Macaca fascicularis: one gene and its partner. The protein of the gene in region 2 purifies or fractionates together with the protein of the main gene of each other region. This does not show direct contact. Links are inferred from orthologs where the notes say so. Each region holds a gene or a part of one and is shown on either strand. Other genes may lie near its edges.

Region 1 (6,087 bases), on a different chromosome or scaffold from region 2:
GCCGCATCAGGGGCTCTCTCCAGTCAGCTGTGACCTCAGCACCGGGGACTAGGAGACGTCCAACCTCCCCAGAAGCCACCATACCCCGCACTCCACGTGGCAGTAGGAGGACGCTCCCATTGCCTCCAGACTGCCCGCCTTGAGACCATAGGAACTACCCAGTCCAAACCAAACCGAGAATCTCCTCTGGGGTGCCTCTTGGCGAATCTCCAGACTTTAAGTCTCAGCCAAGACATAAAACGAAAGCGGTTCATTTTCTTCTGCACAATAGCATGGCCGCAATATAAATTGGATAATCAGTCTCAGTGGCCTGCAGAAGGCACTCTAGACTTTAACATTCTCACAGATCTGACCAACTTCTGCAAGAGACTAGGCAAATGGTCCGAGATACCCTATGTTCAGGCCTTTTGGGACTTGCATTCTCACCCAGATCTCTGCGCCCAATGCTCGTTAGCTCAAGTTCTGCTCACAAAGTCTCTTCCCTCGAGCAAGGAGGGGGATGATTCCTCCTCTTTTTCTGAGCCTCCTGACACCCTATCCCGGCCACCCCTCCGGTCTCCTGCCCAACCTCCCTCCTTACCCTGACCCACCGTTATCCCTGTCCTCATCAACGCCTCCCTACCCTTCCCCCACTCCTGTGCCCTTACCAAACCTGACAGATTCTGTCTCCCCTACTTCCACCTCCTCCCCTTCCTTGCCTGTCTCAGCCCATACTCGGTCCAGGACTGACCTCCTGTGTCCCTTGTGAGAGGTGGCAGGTGCCGAAGGAGTAGTCCAGGTCCATGTGCCGTTTTCATTGGCAGATTTGTCTAAGGTTGAGGGGCGTGCAGGCTCCTTTTCAGCCAATCCTACTCGTTATATCAAAGAGTTTAGGTATCTGTGCCAGGCATATGATCTCACCTGGCATGACCTCCATGTCGTTATGACCTCAACCCTGTCTCCTGAGGAGCAGGAGCGCATCCTAGCGGCAGCCAGGCAGCACACTAACCAGGTTCATTTAACTGACCCCGCCATGCCAGTCGGCACTGAGGCAGTGCCCTCGGCTGAGCCCGACTGGGACTACCAGGTAGGGCAGGCAGGCCGCTGTCACCGAGACATGATGGTTCAGTGCCTTCTTGCCAGCATGCAGGCAGCCTCTAACAAATCAGTCAACTTTAACAAACTAAAGGAGGTAGTCCAAGGCGCAGATGAAAATCCGGCTGTTTGTCTTAACCGGCTGACTGAGGCACTTATTCAGTACACCCGCCTTGACCCTGCCCCCCCTGCAGGAGCAACCATCTTGGCCTCATATTTCATTTCTCAGTCAGCCCCTGATGTCCAAAAAAAAATTTTTTTAAAGGCGGAGGAAGGCCCTCAAACTCCCATCCAGGACTTAGTCAAACTGGCCTTCAAGGTCTACAACTCCAGGGAGGAAGCAGCTGAGGCCCAACGACAGGCCAGGCTAAAACAGAAGGTACAACTCCAAACCCAGGCCTTGGTAGCAGCCCCGAGGCCATCCGGCTCCAGGAGCTCCCAGAAAGGAGGTACTCCCCGAGCGCCATCTGGTGCCTGCTTCAAGTGAGGCACCGATGGCCACTGGGCCAGGCAGTGCCCTAACCCAAAGGAGCCAACTCGCCCCTGTCCAAACTGTTGGCAGATGGGCCACTGGAAGTCAGACTGCCCTGACCTAAGGATGGTCGCTGCGCCTACACGTGACGACCCTCCTCCAGGTATTGGAGGCGCCCCAGCTCCTTGACACTGATGAAGATTGAAGAGGCCCAGACTCGGGGACCCCTCTCACTCTCGCCGAGCCCAGGGTCATGCTCCAGGTAGCGGGTAAGTCCATATCCTTCCTTATGGACACGGGGGCTACCTACTCTGCTTTGCCTTCCTTCAGTGGCCACAGCTACCCCTCCACTGTCACAGTCATGGAAATTGACGGCACTCCCTCCACCTACCGCCAGACTCCTCCTCTGTCTTGCTGCCTGGATGGCTCCCTCTTCTCACACTCGTTTCTTATCATTCCTTCGTGCCCAGTCCCCTTGTTAGGACGAGATCTCCTCTCCAAGCTAAGGGACTCAGTTCATTTCCGGCCCACCCCCTCCCCACACCTCACATTCCTCTTCCCCCTCCTCTCACCTGACAAACCCCGCCAGGCTGACCCCCCACTCCTGTTTCCAGTCCCCATTAACCCTAAGTTATGGGACACCTCCAAGCTGATCATTGCCCAGCACCACACTCCGGTCCGCATCCGGCCAAAAGACCCTTCTAAGTTTCCCTCTAGGCCCCAGTTCCCTATCTCCCTTGAACACCGACAGGGACTAAAACCCATCATCATGCGCCTGCCCCAGCAACACATTGTAGTCCCTGCCAACTCACCATGCAATACTCCTATCATGCCTGTACGGAAAAGCTCTGGGGCCTATCGTCTCATGCAGGACCTATGCCTCATCAATGAGGCAGTAGTCCCCACCTTTCCAGTTGTTCCTAACCCATATACACTTCTCTCGTGCATTCCCCTCGATACCACTCACTTTATTGTCCTTGACCTAAAAGATGCCTTCTTCACCATTCCCTTACATCTGACTGTCACTTTCTGTTTGCTTTTACATAGGAAGATCCAGACACTCATATTTCTTCCCAGCTGACCTGGACTGTCTTGCCTCAAGGGTTCTGAGATAGCCCCCACTGGTTGCGGTACCTTTACCCAGCCCTTTTAACTCCTCTAACCTAACCCCCTCCTTTCCCCTTCCCGGCCAAACACTACATCAATGAGTCAGGACTAGTAGAAACCAATCTCCTCACTCTAGAAAAGATTTGAGAAAGACTCCACCAGAAAAACCTCGGATCAAGGCCCTCACTTAGGTGGTGGCAGTCGTCTGTGGCCGGTTAAGTCCTACCCTTTCTAAGCCCCTTACTAATCATTGGCTTCTTGCTACTCATAGCTCCCTGTGTCCTCCGCTTCATCCAGGACTGCATGAAAGAAGTCTCCCAGGTCACTTTCAATCAGATGCTGCTCCACCCCATACCCGAGTTCCGACCTCCGAAGAACGCCACGACGACCCATACCAGCAGGAAGCAGCCAGATGAACACGTTGCCCCATTTTCTTATTAGAAAGAGGTCGGAATGTTAGGCAGGAATCTAGACCCAACATGGCGGCGTTACCCGGCATAGCAGGCCTTTTGTTAAAGACTCCCTTCACCCTTGTACACACCCGCAGACTTACATGCCTCAGAGTTCTGGCTAGGCAACCACACTCCCCCATGACCTGCAGCTCACCTGCATTCCACAAGTTCGTAAACAGCAATTTCGGTTGACAGTTTCCAAAGACCCCTTCCTCATGACCCTTACTCAACTCCTGCCCTAGTAGTTTCAAGACCCCCCCAGGCCCTGTTTGCACAACCAGCTTCCCTACCTCTCGGGCTATAAAAAGCCCCTACCCTCCTCCCTCAGCGCGACTTCCTCGGCCCACACCTTTGGACTGAGGAACCTCACCGGCAAGCCCTAATAAAAGGCTATTCTCACTGCCATTTGCCTTGTGTCTTCGTGCCCGGTTTGGCTGCAGCCTCAGTTTACCTTTACACTCAGGAGGCTGAGGGCGCAGAATCGCTTGAACCTGAAAGGCAGAGGATCCAGTGAGCCAAGATTGCGTCAGTATACTCCAGCCTGGGTGACAAAGCAAGACCCTGTCTTAAAAAAAGAAGGAGGAGGAGGAGGAGGAGGAGAAAGGAAGGAAGGGAGGGAGAGAGGGAGGGAGGGAGGAAGGGAGGGAGGGAGGGAGGGAGGGAGGGAGGGAGGAAGGAAGGAAGGAAGGAAGGAAGGAAGGAAGGAAGGAAGGAAGGAAGGAAAAAAAAAAGAGACTGAGGACTGGAGCTATCATGCTAACTTGGAGTTGAGATTCATTCATTCGTAAATGTCAGCTGAGTGTTCCCTGTCCCTCCTCCCCTCCTCTCCTCCTTTCCCTCCTCCTTCCTTTCTTCTTACCCCTCCTACTACTACTTTTTCTTCCCTAAACTTCCCCTCCACCTTTCTTGTGCTCTGATTCTCTCTTCTCTTATCCCACTTCCTCCTTCTCTCTTTCTCCCTCCTTCTCTTCTTTCTGCCCTTTTCTCTCCTCCTCCCTGCCCTCCTCCTCTCTTCCCCGCTTCCTCTTTTTTCCTTTCCTCCCTTTTCCCCCTCCATCTTACCGGTTTGTTTTGAGATGGAGTCTTACTCTGTCACACAGGCTGGAGTGCAGTGTCTCAATCTTGGCTCACTGCAACCTCCACCTCCCGGGTCCACGCGATTCCTGCCTCAGGCTCCCCAGGAGCTGGGATTACAGGCATATGCCACCATGCCTAGCTCATTATGCATTTTTGGTAGTGATGGGGTTTCACCATGTTGACCAGGCTGGTCACAAATTTCTGATATCAAGTGATCTGCCTGGCTTGGCCTCCCAAAGTGCCGGGATTACAGACATGAGCCACCACACCCAGCCAAGGGTTCTCGTTTCTAAAACCTACCTTGGGAAAGAGGGATTCTAGTTTTTATGACCAGCCTTGAGGGAGAATAGATCTGAGACACAAGAGGGCAGGAAAAGGTCGGAGAAAAACTTTTGCTTCATTTTGGGGTCCTTCCTTCCTGCCTGCCTGCCTGCCTTCTTTCCTCTTTCTTTTTCTTCCTTTCTTACTTTCATTTCTTTCTTTCTTTCTGTCTGTCTGTCGGAGTCTCGCTCTGTCACCCAGGCTGGAGTGCAGTTGCCCGATCTTAGCTCACTGCGACCTCTGCCTCCCAGGTTCAAGCGATTCTCCTGCCTCAGCCTCCTGAGTAGCTGGGATTACAGATGCACACCACCATGCCTGGCTAATTTCTGTATTTTTAGTAGAGACGGGGTTTTGCCATGTTAGCCAGGCTGGTCTCGAACTCCTGACCTCAAGTGATCCCCTGCCTGGGCCTCCCAAAGTGTTGGGATTACAGGCGTGAGCCACTGAGTCCAGCCTGGGTATTATTTTCTGAGCCCCCTAAAGCACCACGGGTATACAGCAGCCTCTGCCCCCTGTTGTTTTCCTAAAATACAAAATCTCCTAATTCCCAAACATACCTGTCCCCAGGGATTTCAGATGAGGGATTGGGGACTGTCCTATCCCCAGGAAACTGAGATGTGGACCAGGGAGTAAAACTCAAGCTTCTGGGCCAAACTGCTCTCTGCCCCTTTCTAACCAGGTGGCCTCGGACTGGTCACCTCTGTGGGCGGCAAGTCACCCAGGTGCCGAGGCAAGAGACTGAAGGCACAAGCTGTTCCAGTATAATAAAGAAAATATATATAATAAAAATAGTTATACTAGAAATAGAATATAGATATGATTCTACATGAATGTTAATCATTAGTTTGTAGCATTACTCTTTATTACTCTTTTTTTTTTTTTTTTTTTTTTTTTGAGACGGAGTCTCACGCTGTTGCCCAGGCTGGAGTGCAGTGGCGTGATCTCGGCTCACTGTAAGCTCCGCCTCCCGGGTTCCCGCCATTCTCCTGCCTCAGCCTCCTGAGTAGCTAGGACTACAGGCGCCTGCCACCGCGCCCGGCTAATTTTTTGTATTTTTAGTAGAGACGGGGTTTCACTGTGGTCTCGATCTCCTGACCTTGTGATCCGCCCACCTCGGCCTCCCAAAGTGCTGGGATTACAGGCTTGAGCCACCGCGCCCGGCCTATTACTCTTTATTACTCTTTATTCCAATATCTGTTCTACAATTATAACCTAGGAAAAACCAGGCCATACAGAGATAGGAGCTGAGGAGACACGGTGAGGAGTGACCAGAAGACAAGACTGTGAGCCCCCTGTCACGCCCGGACACGGCCACTAGAGGGCTCCCTGGTCTAGCGGTAACACCCGCGCCTGGGAAGGCGCCCATTACTTAGCCTACTAGGAAACGGAGTCTTCCTTTCCCCCGGGGAGTTAGAGAAGGCTCGGCTCCACCACCTCTTGTGGAAGGCCTGACATCAGTCAGGCCCACCTGCAGCCATCTGGAGGCCTAAACGTCCTCCTGTGATGCTGTGCTTCAGCGGTCACGCTCCTGTTTAACTTTCACGTTCCGCTCCTCCCTCTAGATAGCAGTAGCAAAATTATTGA
Region 2 (5,982 bases):
ACCCTCCTCCCCCAGCCCATCTGTTGCACATTATACTCCGTGTGTTCTTCAACTTTCGGTGCCCTTATTCCCCTGCCTTCCTGGCTTGATTGAAGGAAAGCTTGAAAAGGCGCAGAGCCCTTATACCTCATTTCTTCCCTGATAAAAGGATCCAGGTGAGGTCCTGTCACAGCCTGTGGGTAGGGGATGTGGCGGGATCCTCATTGCCATGGTACTCAAAGGCAGAAGAGCCTGGAGTTTGTTGCTTTTCTGCTATTCTTTCATATCCTGGGCCTGGTGATCAGCAATTCTCATTCCTCTCAGCCAAAGGCCTGCACTGGGTTTTATTTGTCCTTTTTTATTTTTTAAGCACTGCCTGCCAGAGACGGGCCTGGGGCCTGATGAGGACCTTAGCGCTGCTCATTCTCCTTTTTGGTTCATGCACACATTCCTCTGTGCGTGGGGAAAGCAGGCCCTCCTCAGAGAAGTCAGGGGTTCCCCGGCTCGAGGTATAGTGGCAAAGACCTAGTGGTCCCCTACCCCCACATCTCTCAGTTCCTGGCATGAGGAGAGAAGACCTTGCTCTGGTGGAGCTGACAACCTTTGAGGCCGGGAGGAGAAAGCAGCCTCTGGGCATCGTTCCCAGTGTCCTCCACACTAAAACGGTGTAGATGGCAACCCCCCCCCCGCCCGCCACCCCGCTGCTCACCTCTTGTGTTTGTGGTTCTGTTTGCCCCATTTATCTGTTGCTATTTTTGTGTTGTCTTCCCCCGCTCCGCATTTTGTAAAATGGCTCCTGGGGGAGTGTCTTTGCTGGATCTGCTCCCTCTCGCCCTCTCACTCCACTACTTTTTGGAAGAAAGTGATGGCAGAATGCGGTGGTGGTGGGGGGTCTTTTGTACTGTTGGATTAATAAAATGACTAAAATCCCAGACAAGGACTCCTTGCTGTTGCTGTGTGAAAAGGCTGGAATGAGCCACTGTCACTGCTGGGTAGGGTGCTTAGGGGTTGAGGATAAGTATACTCCCCAGGGTCCCTGGGAGTGGGAATGGCAGATCTGGCCCCTGAACTGACCCTGGTATAAGCTGCTGAGCCAAGGGAGGCCTGTGTTTCCCCGCCCATCCCCCTGTGTCTCAGCTGTGAGAAACTGAGTTTCCTTTCTGAGCATATTCCTGGTCCAGGCCTGGAGCCAGGAGGATTTGGCACCAAAGCCTCTGGAAGACAAGTGCTTGAGCTCTTCTGGGTTTAGCACCCCACCCACCTCCCAGTTGTTTGGGTTAGGGAGCAAGTGTAGCTCTAAGGGTGAGGGGAGGGGCTACTCCTGTTACAGCAAATTTCATTTTGGGATGTTTTTCAGATCGTTCCCGTCCCCCAACAGTTCTTTTAAAAGTAGCCATGGCATCTTTTAAGCAGTCTGTGCTGGAGCAGATTGGGGAGAACGGCAGGAGGGCTATTTCCACACCCTGGATTTGCGACCTGTCTCTCTCCCTTCCCCCATCTCACAGCTGTCTCTGTCTATCCGGGGACCAACCTGGCCCCTTCGTCATCTCAGAAGACTGCACCCTCTGCCTTTCTCTCAGTTTGTGGGGGAGGGGGTTCCCTCTAGAAACTGTTTAGACACTGGGAAAGAAGGGCAGGAAACTCAGGATACAGTTAGCTGAGACCTCGGTCGTCCACCCGGTAAGCTCAAGTTTAGGGGCCCTGTCGCTAGACCTCCCTTCCCCTCCCCTGACTCTCAAGTCCTTCTCTTATTGGCCAAAAGTTTCCGCCCCCTTGGGGATGTTGACTTTTCATTGGTCAGTTTCTGGTCACATGATTCTCTTCTCGGGCTGCAAACGAAGGAAAGCCAGCAACAAGTTAAGCTGAAGACCGAAGCAAGAGCTGGGTCAGGTAATGCCTTAGCTGGGAAGGGGTCCACAGATTCCCTGTGACGGGGGTGGAATAAGGAAAAGGGAAGGCGGAACTAATCTAGAAGGAATGAGCTGCTTTTGATTTCCGGGCTGGGGGAGGAGGGCCAGGTGCCGACACTAACAAAACAGGAACCCCAGGCAAGTGGCCCTAGATCCTTTGCTTTAGAGGTTTGGAGGCGCAACTGTTAGAAGAGTTTAAATTAACTAGAGACGAGACTTCCTAGCTTTGTACTGAGTGGGAGAGCTCCCCCTTTAGCTGTTTTTTAGAAATAGCAGAAGTCTCTGTCATAATCCTTACAGGAGGTGTTTGTTGAATCCTGCCTGAATGAAAAGAAGGGGGTGGGGGGAGGGAGTGGAGGTGGGTTTTCTTCCAGAAGGTCGATGAAAAGAAAAAGATCTGGAAACACAGCAGGGAAGGGTGGAGATTAGACAGCAGAAGGAACTTCCTAATAAGGCAGTGAGATGCTGGCTTGGGAGAAGAGGGGTATTTTTTTGAATCCTGGGTTAACCTAACCAAGAGAGAGATATCAGGGTTTGGGACCCAGAGTATAGGAGCTTCAGAGTGTCTCCTATTTGGGTCTTATAAGTATTTGTTTTGTTGACCCAAATATCTTTGCTGGTTTCCATGGAGACAGTGGGTCTGACATCACTGTGGTTGCCATGGTGCCTGGTTCTAGAGGACCTGAGCAGACTGTACACACAGCTAGGCATAAACAGGGACTTCAGCCCAAGCTGCTGCCACTTCCTTCCTGCCACCACCTGTTAACAGTCAGCAACTGGGGATGGGGAGATGATGACAACGGCGGGGGCGGAGCCACAAGCGGAAGGCTGAACAGCCATGGCTCTATGGATACTTAGAGATGCATGCCAGGGTGTCCTTTTGGACTTGGTACAGGGAAGTCATTACAGCCATTTTCCTGTCTCTGTGTGGGATGGGTGCATGTGTCTGGGAGGATGGGCATTGGGAAAGACCTATCCAGGACTTGGATCTTGACTGGCAGGAGCCACAGGAGGTTATTTAGGGCACCACGTGGGACTTGAAAACAGCTCAAACAGAAGGGGATAAGGTGGTTGGTTTCGAAGGTAGAACTGCCGTACTGTCCCAGCCTCACTTCCCTTTTCCTGAGTTTCCTTATAAAGTGCTGGGGAAGCAGTCATTTATCCTCTTCTGAAGGATCACAATCCAGTACTCTTGAGAGGTCAGCTCATCTATCCTTCCACCTTTATGCCTGGTCCCAACAGGAGCTGCCTGAGGGAACTGTCTTAGCCTTGGATGAAGGGGCGGATCCCTCTCTTCTTACTCTGCTTTGTGTCAGTCAGGCTTTGGAAACTGGAGTGATTCCCTCCCCTGTCCCTGTCAAGTCAGAGCAGATTAACGAGGTGCAGGACCATAGCCCTGATTTTTGTCTATCTTTTGCAAGCTATAAAGTGGTGTATATATACATGATAGTTGCCATAAATCCATTTTCCCAGTCACCTTCAAGTTCCCTAACACCAAACTCTGGCGATTACTAAGAAGGTAAACAGAATTTATGATGGAGCTGAGAGTGATGAGGAGACATAAAAGGTGCATCCAGGTGGATCTAAGCTATGCCAGTGGTTCTCAACCCTGGGTGCGCATGAGAATCATTTGAGAGGTTTTTAAAAAGACCCACGCCTGGGCCTACACCCCAACTCAATTGAATCAAAATCTTAGGTGATTCCAATGTGCAACCAAGATTGAGAACCATTGAACTAGACCATACCAAGGACTTATGCTGGGCAAGTGGTGGGACATTTAGGGCTGAAAGAGGCCATCAAGTCTTCCTTTGCAGGTCCTGGGGGAGAAGGTAGTGATTGTGTAGGAACCTGGTGTTGGGAAGGGAGGGCAAGGCTTCTTATTGGCAAGTTAAGTCTGTCAACCTTGCTGGGCTTAATCTTCCCTGACTAAAATGTCAGGGGGCTGGACTGGAATTCCCCAGAGCCTTTCCAGCCTATGCTACTTTGACCTTTCAAGGTCAGTTCAGTTTTCCAAGGCCCTGTTGGTCCCCGGAAGAGGCTGGCTTCTCTGTGGCTGTTGGCAGATTCTGATTTGCAAGGCAAATACTGCTTAGAAGAGTTGGGGTATCAGGGAGAGAAGGACTGGAACCAGGCTTGGTTCTGGAGGCTGCTGCCCAGCACTTGAACCTTGGAACCCAGCCAAGGCTGCTTTCTGCATCCTGCCCCTCCTGAAAGGAGCACCCATCCTTAAGAGAGCTTTCTTCTGCAGGTGGCAGCCACAGCAGCCTCAGGGACCTCAGCAACTATGGCCTCCTGCCCAGACTCTGATAATAGCTGGGTGCTTGCTGGCTCCGAGGTATGAAGAGCAGGCCTGGGAACCATGGGGGCAGGCTTGGGGGGTGTTTCTGCAGTGCTGGGCTTCTTTCTTGGTGGGTCCTTTTCCTTAGTCCTGATGGTCACCTGCATCACTTCCTGCTGGCTGTTAGAGGAACTCCAGTAGCAGGAAGAAGGAGATCGGGCCCCAGGGCTCAAGTGTTGGCACTTGGACCATGCTATGAAAGAAGGGACCAGTTCGGTAAGCTGAGACAAGTAGGGAGGGATTTCGAATGGAGAGACCAATGTGAACAAAGGTCCCGAGGCGATAGTGGGGAAAGCCATGCTGGGGGAGACTGTGGGACACCCATGGGTGATGTGGAGACGTGGGTTGGAGCCAGTGTTGGAGTGAGGTTGGGGGCAGAACATCGGAACCCCTGGAAGAGACCTGAAGGGCCTGGCTGAGGCCTTCAGGCCTCATCCTGATGGGAAATCAATGTGGGGCTTTGGGTTAGAGGGATCAGGACAATCATTGTCTTGGGCAGAGGGTGAAGCCACTGTGCAGCCTGGGTGGGAACAGGGAGAGAGTGTTTTGAAGACCCTCTGCAGCAGTCCAGGTAGCAGCTGGTGGGGCAGAAGCCCACTGAGGAGGGAGAAGGGGGCTGGTAGGATGGGGAACTGAGTGGCTAGAGAAGGGATGGCAAAAATTTGTCAAAGGCATCTCTGAGAGTTCCAAGACCTTGCGACTTTGTATATTAGAGCCACCAGGAGGGGAGGAGGGGAGGAGCTCGGTTTCAATATGTTGAGTTTGAGGTGCTCTTGAGGAACCCAGCTGGGAGTAAGGAGTTGACCTTGGGGATGATGCTGGAGCAAGATACATGGATTGGAACTCGCTGGCAGAGGGAAGGCAGGTATGAGCAGATGGGCATCAGGCTCTCAGAGCCCTGGCCTCCTGTTGAGGTGTCTTTGTTGACAGCTGGGGGACCTTGGGCATGCCATGTCACCTCTCTGTCCTCTCCTGTAAAATGGGGGTCATGATTTTTGCCTTATAGGAGGGACCATGAGAATAAAAATGTTTTGAAAATGGCAAAGACACAAGTAAGATGAAGCATTATTCTCAAAGGGATAGTTGGAGCCACGGGGCAGGTGGCAGGCCAGGGCCCTGCGGAAGGGGAGTAGGCAGAGGGAGGAGGCCAAGGCTGTGTGGCCAGGGCTGAATGTTCAGGGAGAGCACCCTGGAGACAGGCTGTCTGTGGTTGGGGTGGGTTGGGCTTCTGTGAGCAGCTGCTGGGTGTCGGGGGAGTGTCAGGGGCCAGTGGGAAAGGCCAGAAAGGCTTAGGAGATGTAAGTAGTTGTCCAGTTGAGAGGGCAGCTGCAGTGACACCCCGGGAGGCATAACTGTGACCCGTGGGCACCCAGGGAACTTTGTTCTCTTACCTTCCTCCTACCCTTAATATTATAATATCTGTGTTGTTCATCTGTGGGGAAGGAAGTGCTACTGATCTTGAGGGGAGGGAAATCTAGGCTGTAGCTCACCTCCTGGCGGTGGGGCACCGGGTTTGTGCTGCATCCAGTGCCTTGGTGTGGTGGTGCTTCTCTGTGTAGCGGAAACCTGGCCCCTGAAAGTTCCTCCTCACAGTGAGTGAGGCTGGGGAATGGCCAAGCACTTGGTGCTGCCCGGAGCCCCTTTTCGGGCCGGCTCATGACTGAACATATGTGTTTCTGGGATGTGGGCTGGGGCCCCATTCTTGGGTGCAGCCCTTCTCCTTGCACTTCTCCTCCCAGAGCCTACCCGTGGAGA

Evidence for each region.
Region 1: the proteins of PBXIP1 (region 2) and SLC27A1 purify together in Homo sapiens (co-immunoprecipitation; 3 studies listed by BioGRID and IntAct, with this or other methods). This does not show direct contact. The link is inferred for Macaca fascicularis from reciprocal best matches to the Homo sapiens genes PBXIP1 and SLC27A1.

The regions. Positions count from the first base shown.
Region 1 is NC_088393.1:17,805,592-17,811,678, reverse strand, and holds the start of SLC27A1 (long-chain fatty acid transport protein 1), read right to left. Parts: upstream 3,401-6,087; 5' UTR 3,246-3,400; coding exon 3,049-3,245; intron 1,517-3,048; exon of another isoform or gene 785-1,516; coding exon of another isoform or gene 731-784; intron 1-730. UniProt on the Homo sapiens protein: Mediates the import of long-chain fatty acids (LCFA) into the cell by facilitating their transport at the plasma membrane.
Region 2 is NC_088375.1:106,189,028-106,195,009, forward strand, and holds the start of PBXIP1 (pre-B-cell leukemia transcription factor-interacting protein 1), read left to right. Parts: upstream 1-1,793; 5' UTR 1,794-1,869; intron 1,870-4,137; 5' UTR 4,138-4,173; coding exon 4,174-4,224; intron 4,225-4,315; exon of another isoform or gene 4,316-4,422; coding exon of another isoform or gene 4,423-4,443; intron 4,444-5,966; coding exon 5,967-5,982. UniProt on the Homo sapiens protein: Regulator of pre-B-cell leukemia transcription factors (BPXs) function. Inhibits the binding of PBX1-HOX complex to DNA and blocks the transcriptional activity of E2A-PBX1.